Coturnix japonica: one gene and its partners. The protein of the gene in region 1 interacts with the protein of each later gene in a pairwise test. Links are inferred from orthologs where the notes say so. Each region holds a gene or a part of one and is shown in the gene's direction. Other genes may lie near its edges.

Region 1 (3,646 bases):
TAGATCAACTTGGTTTCGTTCATTGTTTTCACTGGGATGCATCAGTCAGGTCAAATCATATTAAATTCTGCTCTCGCCTCCTCCGTCAGAGATGTGTGACTGTGAGCTCTGCAGCTTTGAAGTCTCTCCTGCAAATGTGTGGAGGCTATTGCTGCATACCCACACCTCAGATGATGCTCTCCTGGCAAAAGTACCAAACGTGGGCAGTTGTAAGGCTGAGGGGCTGTGATGGGGACCCGCCATGGAGGCCAGATCAATACTTAGCTTCAGTCTACAGAGATTGTGCTGACTTCAGTGCTTACCAGTGACCTTTAGAAGCATTTACTATCAGAGTTATTGCTTGGGTAGTTTCAAGTGTTGGCACTTGAGAAATTCCCCCCCAAGGGCAATGAGAAGCACTGGTGCTTGGAAGGAATCCTTCCTCCTCTGGTTCTGTTGGAATGAGGAGAGTTGTGTCACTGAGTAAGATCTCAGCAGCCAGAATGAAGGTACATGCTGGACCAGCATCCTCATCCTCCTACACCTGGGAGGTCTGCAGAGCATTGCAGGGAGGCTAATATATGTGTTCTCGTGCTCCGTCACTAATGCACTCAGCACAGAACAGCTGTAAATCTGTCCTGCTCCTGTTCCATGCTGCCTTATTGGGAGCGAAAGCCTGAGTCAGCACAGAGATGGCCTTGCTCTGGAGTGCTGTGAGTCACCCTCGGGCTCTGCAGCCAGGGGAGGCAGGTGAAACCCTGGCCCTGAACAGAAAATGCTTTTAATTTGCTTTGCAGTCATTCCACCTAGTGGCTAAGGGACACCACAGCCAGGAGAACTGGCTTTGTGCTCCGCAGTCCCTGCTATGCAAAAGGGACCTGAAAACCCCAGCTGGTATTTATGGCTGCTCCTAGGGACCCACACTGCTGCTGAGCTTATGAAATGCATAATAACACTGAAGATCTTATCAAAGAAATGCTGTGAGTAGCTCATTAAGTTTCTGAGCAATTTTGTTAATCATACTGCATAGATAAAATGCAGATAGGCCTTTAGTGAGCTGATAATCTAACAAATAGGCAGAAAGTGTAACACTGATAAGACAGAGATCAGTTTAATAGCCAGCTGTAAATCTAGGCAGTTCTGAACCAGAGGCATATTGTAAGACAGAAATGTGCAAGTGTGTAAGTGTGTGCATGAAAATGTGCTGTTTCTTAAAATAGCAGATAAATAGTGCAGTAATATTATGTAAGGAAGAGCTATTGGGAGCGATTTTAGAAGTGTTTTAAAATATTTTTCTCTCCATCAAAGTCTACACCATTTGTGGTGTCTTCATAATCCAGCATCACAAGTGCAGATGTGTGAATAACAAAGGCTTGTTTCTGGATGTCAGGATTTTCTGTAAAGATCTGTGAGCCCTACCACTGGTCCTCAGGCAATGTAAGAAATTTATAGGCTTTTCATTTGAATGAACCTAATTATTCACTTAGATTTTTACTGTTTGTGAAATAAGACCATCAGAAATGCATGCCCTGATGCCTCACTGTGCTTTGGAACAGTGGACTCAAAACCATCCTCTGCTGCTCCTCCATGCAGGAGGAAATACAAACTTTTTTGTGGCAGAGCAATTCCCTAACATATTGATTGTGATTTTCAAGCAAGAGAGGCATTGTGATATTCCAGTCTGTATGTGTTTTGCATTAAATAGCATTTAGGAGCAGGCAGTGTAAGCTCGGTGTCTCCCTTCACAGAGTGGCTCTAGCAGTGACTGTGCAGCATCATTCTGACTCTCTGCACTGCTCAGCAGTGTTAATTCTATTGGAAGAAAATTGAGTTGTGGTCTTTCAAGTCTCAACTTAGTGATCCAACTACTGAATCTCCTTCTTGTGGAGATGCTGTTATCCTTGGTTGTGAGCCCGGGCATGTAGGTATCCTCTCACTGAGTTTTTCAACTATCTGTGTTTCTTTCCTGTTGCAGAAAAAACATATATAAGAAAAGTCTGTGCCAATGCACTGATGGTAGAGAATGAACAATATGTATATATACATGGCTTAGCAAGTTGTTTGCTAAAAGAGCATCTAAAAGAGCTAGAGGGAGAAAGCACATTTTTTATATATGACTTTATGTAAATATAGTGTAGATGGTGTAATGAGAAAAAAAGACAAGTAATGGTGCATAACTAAGACCCATAAACTCGTGGAAACAGTTGTTGCTCTTTCTCTGAAGAAAATGATGGAAAATTATGTACTAAGGTGAGACTTAGAGCGATTTGCATTATTTGAATTATGAGTATGGATTGCTTTCCTGTCAGCTGTACCTTAGAATCACTAAAGTCGGAAACAATATGAGAAGAAACAGAGTCCATAGGATGAAGAAAAGGGCTGTGCAGTCAGCATTTAACTGGTATTTATACTATAGTAGCTTGCAAAAAATACAGGGGAAAAAAAGGGAATTTGTCTGTAAAATTAAATGCTTCCTTTCCAAAATACCTTTGGGGTTTAAATAGCATTTTATGTTTGAAATCATTGTTCACCAGAGCTTCCATCAGGGCAATCATAGTGAAAACAAGATCTATCCAAGAATTAGCAGTTTGCACACTAGTCTGGTTTTTTGATCATTTATTACAGCAGAAGCTTGGTTCGCAGGTCTTTATTTGAGCAACATGATGTAGAGAAGCAAAATAAAAGCATTTGTGTTCATTTCTGGATGCAGAATCACTGCTGACATGACAGAAGAATAATTGGTGCCGTGCAGTATTTATTTCTGAACATTAGATCTGTTAGGTTATCTAACAACATAATGAAGGACTTGGGACTATAGCAAGAGCTGATGGTAATGCTAGCAATTTCCCTCTTTTTTTCTACAGGTCACTGTCAGAGGATTTGGTCCATTGCTACAGTTTGCCTACACTGCTAAGCTGTTACTCAGCAGAGAAAACATCCAGGAGGTCATCCACTGTGCTGAGTTCCTGCGCATGCACAACTTGGAGGACTCCTGCTTCAGCTTCCTTCAGACTCAGCTGCTGAACAACGAAGATGGCCTGTTCCTGTGCAAAAAGGATACCACTTGTCAGCGCATGCATGATGAGGAAAACTCAGATGGAGATGAGGAGGAGACAATGGAATCGGAGACGTCAAAAATATCTTGCCCAAGAGAGAGAATGCACCAGGAGCCCTTCAATTTTGAAACCACCGTTGCTGGCACAGACAAAGGAGAAGGGATTCTGCCCAACTCTGACATGCTGAGAGACAGCAAGGACAATTTGGACAAAGATGCAGTAACACGGTACCCCAGATACAAGAAATACCAGCTTGCTTGTACCAAGAATGTCTACAACACATCACACATCAGTACCTCAGGTTTTGCAAGCACATTCAGTGAAGAGAGTTCTGGAAATGGCCTCAAATCAGGACTTGCTATGGGGCAGATAAAAAGTGAGCCTCAGAATGAAGAGAATGATGAAGAAAGCATCACGCTTTGCCTGTCTGGAGATGAACCTGACATCAGGGATAAAGAAGGGGATGTTGAAATGGACAGGAAGCAGCCAAGCCCCACTTGCATCGACAGGCCAAAAAGTGGGTCTTCTCCTTCTTGCTTGCGGTCTTTCTTCAACAGAACAAAAAGCATAGATTTGGTTGGCTTCCCCAGCACTTCCCAACAGCACTTTGG
Region 2 (3,746 bases), about 49 Mb from region 1:
AGAAAACCAGTTGATTCCCAGTGCAATGTATCAGCTATGAATTTACACATTTTTAGTGGCTGCTTTTGGCCAAACAAGGTGAAGAGCTGAACATTGAACGTTCAGCTGCTTTCCCAATGATAAATAAAAATTTCTACAGCAAGTGGTATTTCCAATTAGCAGTGTCTGTGATCTGTGTTTCCACTAACAGAAATACATTAAATATTCCTCTTCTTTCCCCCCCCTCCCCTTCCAGTAGCCTCTTGTCCTTCAGTTAACTTCATAGAAATGAGCAGTGTTGTGCAAGAAGGCTGTCTATTCAGGTTTCCACTGAAATGTCACAACATCCAAGCTTCTTATTTTTAACTTGGGCTGAATTGGTATTGCATCAAGAAACGTCTGGTCATTTTTCTTTATATAGCCTTTGGATTTTGTAAGGCAGCTCAATGGCGAAGGATGCTTGGGAATATTTGCAAACTTAGTTTGAGTTCTGTAGTTATTTTGGGTGAGATGAAGCATCTTACCACTTTTTAGGATGTGCTGCCTGAGGTTTGCATGGGTGAGCCATCCATACCCAGTGAAATATCACACATGGGCATTGTATCCGCACGCTTTTAGCTGTGTTTAGTTTTTAAACACTCCTCTCCCAGAAATCTTCATGCAGACACCAACATCTGTTTGTTTGAAAGTACGGGCATGTGGTGCTCTGGGACCCAGTTGTGACATACGCCACGTGTCTAAAAGAGCCACGCTAAGCCAAAGTGTTCAGCAACTGAGTCTGAAGGCGCGTGGGCTGTTCTGGTGCAGACAGAAGTCACTGATATGTTGCGATTATAAACCGTAAGCTCAGCGACCTAGACTGCATTCGGAGCTCATTTTTTCTCCTGCATAGAAGTACTGTGCCCTTACTACTGTGTTACTTGGAACTACTGTGTAGGCATTTCTACAGAAGCACAGGAGATAGCTTTAAAGACTTGTTCCCACAAGCAAATTTTGTTTTTTTTTTCATTTCCTTTACCACTTTGAGCACCAGCAGATTGTACCCAGGCCCAAGGGGACCTCCCTGTGACCTGTCACTCCTTGCGGGGTCCTGTAAACCTCCTCACCTTACAAATACAGGAGGAATTCTTACCAATAATTTACACATATCAATAAATTCTTGGAAAACTCGTTGTGACTTAGCTCTGTTACATCACCTGCTTGTGCAGCTGCTTCTAGGGCGCGTGTGTATGGCTCCTGTAACAGCATGAGCGCTTTGTGTGGAGTCATTCTGAAGCCCTACTTGTAGGAAGGGCTGTTTTTCTTCTCCAGACACAAATCTGCAAGCCTTCCCCATGCTGAGGGCCACAAAGACCAACAGCCCCAATAGACCCTTTGGCTCAATAGACCCTTGCCAAAATGCCTTGACCTCACGTGCATCCTATGACTGCATTGGATCTGCCAACTCTCTCTGAAAAGGCCTCTGAGGCTCAGTCCTCTGGGATTCAAGGAGCTCTGGGAAAGGTGAAGGCAATGCAGGAGGAGCTCTGAGGCACAGTGGGGTGAAGCGTTGCCCTGCAGAGCAGCCCTGGTCCGGCTTTCAGCGATGCTGACCTCAGTCTGACTCGTGGGCTCCAGGCAAGGCGATGTTTCTTTCATCAGCGTGAACTGTCAACCAGATCTTCCTGGAAGGATGATCTATATTTACTCCATTCGCAGCCTGCAACTTCATCTTCACCTAAGCTGAATGACTCAGACTTCGGGTGAAACGAGAAGAATAGGGAAGTGGCCGATTTATGAAGATACCTGGGGTTGATGACCGACTGCACAGCAGCTCAGGGGCACGTTCCTTAGCATGGACGTGCGTTGTCCCCGTGAGTCGCGAATATGTGGTGCTGTAGAAAGGATGTCTGTGGGTATCTGCGGGGGCACACAGCAATTCACTTCCTTCAGAGCACAGGGAGAAGATACGCTTCAGTTGCGACGTAGGAAGAGCGTTCAGAAGGATAAAAGCAGCATTGTTCGGGCTGCTAAAACATTCCGGGCAGAGCGCTCCAACAGGGAGACTTCTGTCCCGGCAACTACGTGTTCTGCGCTCATTGTCTTGCTTCGCCCTTACAAGAAACGTGCGGCATTTCCTTATTATTTAAAGGAACCGGGCGAGTAGCGAAAGTGAAAATCACTTTATCCCAGCCCAGATGCCTCGTCCTCACTCCAATGAACCCCGCCTTGCGCTCCTGCCCATTCTCCGCAGGTCGTGCCGCTTTGGAAAGCCGATGTCGCACGTGTTCCGCGGCCAGGAGTGCGCGGGGGTGAGTCAGCCGCGCAGCCCTCGGGCGGCTTTTGCGCGGCATCCTCGCGGGTTTCGCAAAAAGCCCCTCGGAGGCAGCGCTCGGGCCACGATGGCGTTTGAACCATCGGAGGGGCGGCGGGCGCGGCCAGCCCCGGGGTTCTCCGGGGGATTTTTGGGCGGCTCCTGCCCGGCAGCGCCGTGCCACGGGGGCCGCGGGCTTCCCCCCGGCTGCCGGGGGCCGGTCGGGCCGGGGCGCGGACCCCGCGAGCGCCACGTGAGCTCCCGGCGGCTCCGCCCCGGGGGCCGCGGCGGAGGCCCCCAGGTGCCGGGGCGGGGCGGGGGACGGCTCCGTGCCGCGGGGCCGAGCGCGGCGCCCCGGGGCGGGCGGCAGCCGGCGGGATGTCGTGCGGCGCCCCGGCCGCGGGCAGCGCGGTGCCGCGGAGCGCAGAGGGCGGCCAGCAGGTAGGGGAGGGACGGGCAGGGGTCGGGAAGGGCACGGCGGGGCGGCCGGGGGGCTCTGCCGAGGTTACGTGCTGGCTGCCGGCGGCGGCTCGGTGTGCCCGCCCGCACCTTGATGCCTAGAGAGCTGCTTCTGCCTTCCAGAGCCACGAAGAAGATGATAAGAAGGTGAGGAGGAGAGAAAAGAACCGAGTCGCCGCACAGAGAAGTCGGAAGAAACAAACGCAGAAAGCGGACAAACTTCACGAGGTGAGCGGGTACGCGGTGCTCCTGGGCGTGGAGACACGGACGCTCCAATAACGGGACGCTCCCAGCACGCCTGGACCTGCCGTCGGTGCGGGAGAGCCGGGCGCTGCCCGGTGCCCGCTCAGGAGCTGCCCGACGCTCCGCTCAGGTGGGACGAAGCGTTTCTGCCATCAGCGACACCGGGCAGGAGGGAGGTACGCGGTCGTGCCGGCAGCTCCCATCCCTGTGAGCACCTGCCGGCTGGATCCCAGGCTTCTCAGGGCTAATTCAAGCCCTTTGTGATGCGCTGGTGCTGAACCCGGAGCGCTCACAATGGCAGTGTGTGAACGCCTTGCGGAGAAGCTGGCGATGCAGAGGGGTGTTATGCTGCTCAGTGGTGCTGCTGGCTCAACTCAGTGCTGAAGCTGTGGTCTGAGGCAGAAATACCCAGTTGAAAAGGCTTCTTAGGAACTCCAGAACCTCCAAGCAAGAGAGCTGGGTGCAGTTAACTGCAGAACTCGTGTGCTCTGATAAATAGCAGTGGGTGTTTCCAGAATACCATGAAAGTATCTGATTCTTCCAGAAACTGTTAACGCTTCTCAGTATTACAATGCAGTGGTGTTTTATCATGTCCCCACTGTACACGCTGGAGGAGAAGAATTGCCGTTCTGTAGTTCAAGATGTTTCCTCACACAACAGTTCTGTAGTTGCAGGAATGGCTCAGCGGGTAGGTAGGTGTTGGTTGTGCTGCCTCAGTTGTGGCTTTGTTGGTTGCTCAGCTCCGGAGGCACAGCCTGTTGTCTCTCTTAGG
Region 3 (3,746 bases), on another chromosome or scaffold:
TTGCCAGAAGCCTTTGATGCTTCAGAACTGAGGTAGCATTTATTGTGTCCCGTGTAGAAACAGTTGGTAGCAGAATCTTTAAGAACTTTCCAACTGCTTTTCAGTCTCAAAGGTTTGAGTCAGGTCTGGATCCCTCTTTCCCCATCTTCCATCTGCTTTCAGAGCTCATCTCTTGTTTTTTCTTAGCTAGAGCAGCTGCTGTCACACCAATGCAGTGCTGTGCGCTGAGGCTGGGTTCTAATATGCTTCTCACCAGGGACCAAAGTGCCTCTGCCTCATTTCCCATCCGCTTTGACTTTAAATAGAGGGTCAATGTGAACCCCTCAGCCACACTGATTCATTCAGGGTGCATTCTTGGCAGTCATCCCCACAACAGCAGCTTTCTATGGCTTCTTTATAGCCACCATCCCCATAGAGTTCCCTCTTCTTCCAGAGCCCTGTCCTGGACCAGGAAGCAGCACCCAATGTTCACACTGCCCCGGTAGCTGCTGCTGGGCTGCAGTGGGAGCTGTGGGCTGGGGAGGATGGAAGGGATTTGGGTGGATCTCAGTGTCGTCCTGTTCTACCTTGATGTACACTGAGGTTCCTCCTTAGGAACCCAGAGCGTCTATGTGTGTGGTGCAAGAAAAGCATTTGGGGATCAATGCAGAGAACTCCACAGGTGCTGGCAGTGTCAGTGCGGTGCTGTGTCAGTTGGTACTGGGACAAGGCCGTGTAGGTGTGACGTGGCTGCTGCTCTTTCTGCTCCTTGAATAAACCATTCCTCTATCGGACCCGTGGCGGCTCCTGGTTGTGTTGGGTGGACGCAGCTCCGTGTCCCCGCCGTCCCACAGCCCGGCACTGAGCGCTCACCCGGCCCAGCTCCATTGTCCCCTCAGTCCTGCAGTGGTTGGAGCTGCGGACGCCCCAGAGCCGTGTCTGTACAAATGAGAACTGACGGGGCCGAAGTGGGGCGGTAACAAAGGCCCGACGGCAGCGGAGCTCCCATTGCTGCCCATTACTATCCATTGCTATCCAATGCTGCCCATTACTATCCATTGCTGCCCATTACTATCCATTGCTGCCCATTGCTATCTATTACTGCCCATTGCTATCCATTGCTGCCCATTGCTATCTATTACTGCCCATTGCTATCCATTGCTGCCCATTGCTATCCATCGCGCTTTGCTCGGTGCTGCCGCCCTGCTGGGCTCACACCGCGGCCGTTCCCATCCCCGCGGTCCCTTTAAGTCCCGGTCCCGTTCCATTCCTGGTCCCGCCCCGTTTCCCGCCCTCCCGGCGCGTCCCCTTTAAGGCGCGGGGCGGTTGCGCCGGGCGCTTCATGAATGGAGCCACGTGACCCAAACATCACGTGACGCGTCCGTGAGCGGCGGCGGCTCGCGGTCCCGGTCCCGGTTCGTGCAGCGCGGCCTGCCCGCCCCGCCCCGCCCCGCCCGGTCCAACGGCTCCGTCAGGACGTGACCGCAGCGAGCGCGGCCGGTGAGGGGCGGGCGGCGGCGGCGGCACCGAAGGGAGGAGGCGCGGCGCGGGCGGCGGGCGCGGCCCTGGCACCGGGCGGGGCGAGGCGGGGCGGCGAGGCGCGGCGGCCGGTCCCCGGGGGCGGGGCGGGAGCGGCCGGCGCTGACTCACGGCGGGGGCTCCGTGGCCGCCGGTCACCGCCCGGTTGGCGGCGCGCACGGCCCGGTCCCCGCCGCGGCCGAGCAACAGGTGCGCGGGGCCCCGCCGCTCCGCCCGCCCCGCCCCGCACCGGGTCCGCCCGGCGCTCAGCCCCCGCTCGGTCACACGGTGTCCCGGTGCCCGGTGGAGCTGGCCAGGCCGGAGGCGCAGCGCGGCGCTTCCCGACGGTTCACCCGCCGCGGGGCTCGGGCCGCTCCGCTCCTCCCGGCATCGCCGTGGGGTCACCGGGATCCCGCGGGACGGGCGGCGGCGGAGCCGCTTTAACGGGGGAAAGTGCGGGGTGTGTGAGCGGCGGGACGGGCCGCGTGGGGTCAGGGGAACAAAATAACAACACGGATAAACGGGAACGGGATCCCGCACCGGGGGGGGAGGGGAAGGAGAGCTCCGCGCCACGGCGACGTCACCGTGTTTACAGTGCGCGCGTGGCGAGGCGCCGCGATGGGGAACGGGAGGGAACCGGGAGAGAACGGGGAGAGAACGGGGAAACGGCTCCGCGCCGGGGGGGAATTGGCTGCGGCCGTGCTGAGCTCAGGGCTTTTGAGCGCCGGGCAATGTGTTGAGGCGGCATTTTGTTGCTGCAGTCAAAGCGTTGGGCACTTTGCAGTGCGATCTGCGGGAGCCTCTAAAAAGCCGAGCAATGAACGGGCTGCACAGCCGGGATGAGGCTGGTTCGGTGTGTGCCCCCGGCTCAGCTGCTGCCCCCCTCACACATAACAGCCCCGTGCTGTCCGTGCTCTGCTGTGTCTCTGGAAGGGGATGGAGGGTCCAAACTGGTGCTGCGTTCAGGCACAGCCCCGTCCCAGAGCCGCCCCCAGCACACAACATGCACTGTCCAGTTCCTCGGATACAGACACTGCAGCCTCGTGTCCCACAGCAGCGATGCTGTGGCTCAGGATGGGGAGCACTCCCTGACCCCCATCACAGCTCTGTGTCCCTGCACTCATCCCAGCCGTGTCCCCCCATCAAGCTCCTCTCATTTCTGTTCTCTCTCAGCACAGCAGCCCTGGTTGACCCGTCCTTTAGTGCCTCTATCTGTGCGTTTATCAATTTCTCTCAGCAGAAATGACAGTATGAGGTGCAAGGTGAGCACAGGCTCTGAGCTCAGGGCTGTGTGAGTTTCCTGCCCTGCACCCTGAGCTGCTCTACCTGTGCCCAGCCCCATCCAGTGTTTGTTTTTCCCAGCTCTGCTACAATGAAGGAAGTTTGAGTGTTTCCCGGTAGCAGGGAACCATTCAGCCCTGCAGGCACACATTACTGCAGCCATACTGACCCCAGCGTGCGGTCAGAGGGTTCCTCAGGGCCGGTGTTATGCCTCCCCCCAGTTATTCTCTTCCATCTGCCCCTTTTTCCAGCAGCCATTTTGTTTGTTAGGGTGGGGGGGGGGGGGAGGAAACAGAGCAAAGAAAGAGAAATAACAGCACGGGAAAGCACAGAACTGGTTGCAGGAGGCTGCAGTCTGCATGTGCTCCCCTCAATGCAGCCGCCTCCCTCGGTGGCAAAGTGACCCTTACGGCCACGCTGTCGGGTTGTCACGGCCGTCATGCTGCAAGGAACATTGTCCTCTGGGTATAAATAGCTGCCTCCTGGCAGGCTCCGGCCTTGGGGGAACATCTGAATTGTGCTGGTGTGCTCCGTGTCCTGCAGGACGCTGATCCCGCTCACCTCTAGCAGTCAGCGCCGGGCGCATTGCGGGAGCCTGAGCTGCAGCTGCTGGAGGAGCAGAAAGCCGTATTTGCTGACTGTACAGCTGGGTCTTGGCTGCAGCTCTGCCTCTTACGTCTAGCAAACAAAAGAGCAGCGAACGGAATTGCTGTTGGCTGGCACGGAAGGTACAAAGGTACTCATGGACTGCACCTGCACACAGACAGTGCTGGCCTTGCTGCAGGAAGCAGTGCCGGGCTGTGTGGGACAGACGTGGCTGCTGAGGATTCAGTTTGTTGGGGTGCAGTGGAATTCTGACCCGAGGTGTGAGGGGAGGAGGTGCATAGGGACAGGAGCAGGAGCCCAGGTATGTCTCTGTATGAAGACAGCCCCAGGAGCTGCTGTTATAGACCTGGAATGCTGTCCTC

The links.
Region 2: the proteins of BACH2 (region 1) and BATF3 interact in binary tests that used the Homo sapiens proteins (3 or more experiments, as listed by UniProt). The link is inferred for Coturnix japonica from reciprocal best matches to the Homo sapiens genes BACH2 and BATF3.
Region 3: the proteins of BACH2 (region 1) and MAFG interact in binary tests that used the Homo sapiens proteins (3 or more experiments, as listed by UniProt). The link is inferred for Coturnix japonica from reciprocal best matches to the Homo sapiens genes BACH2 and MAFG.

The regions. Positions count from the first base shown.
Region 1 is NC_029518.1:68,692,655-68,696,300, forward strand, and holds part of BACH2 (transcription regulator protein BACH2), read left to right. Parts: intron 1-2,843; coding exon 2,844-3,646. UniProt on the Homo sapiens protein: Transcriptional regulator that acts as a repressor or activator. Binds to Maf recognition elements (MARE). Plays an important role in coordinating transcription activation and repression by MAFK.
Region 2 is NC_029518.1:19,237,130-19,240,875, forward strand, and holds the start of BATF3 (basic leucine zipper transcriptional factor ATF-like 3), read left to right. Parts: upstream 1-1,592; 5' UTR 1,593-2,156; coding exon 2,157-2,270; intron 2,271-2,619; exon of another isoform or gene 2,620-2,650; coding exon of another isoform or gene 2,651-2,713; intron 2,714-2,854; coding exon 2,855-2,959; intron 2,960-3,746. UniProt on the Homo sapiens protein: AP-1 family transcription factor that controls the differentiation of CD8(+) thymic conventional dendritic cells in the immune system.
Region 3 is NC_029533.1:4,419,675-4,423,420, forward strand, and holds the start of MAFG (transcription factor MafG), read left to right. Parts: upstream 1-1,320; 5' UTR 1,321-1,479; intron 1,480-1,688; exon of another isoform or gene 1,689-1,707; intron 1,708-3,081; exon of another isoform or gene 3,082-3,514; intron 3,515-3,539; exon of another isoform or gene 3,540-3,685; intron 3,686-3,710; exon of another isoform or gene 3,711-3,746. UniProt on the Homo sapiens protein: Since they lack a putative transactivation domain, the small Mafs behave as transcriptional repressors when they dimerize among themselves.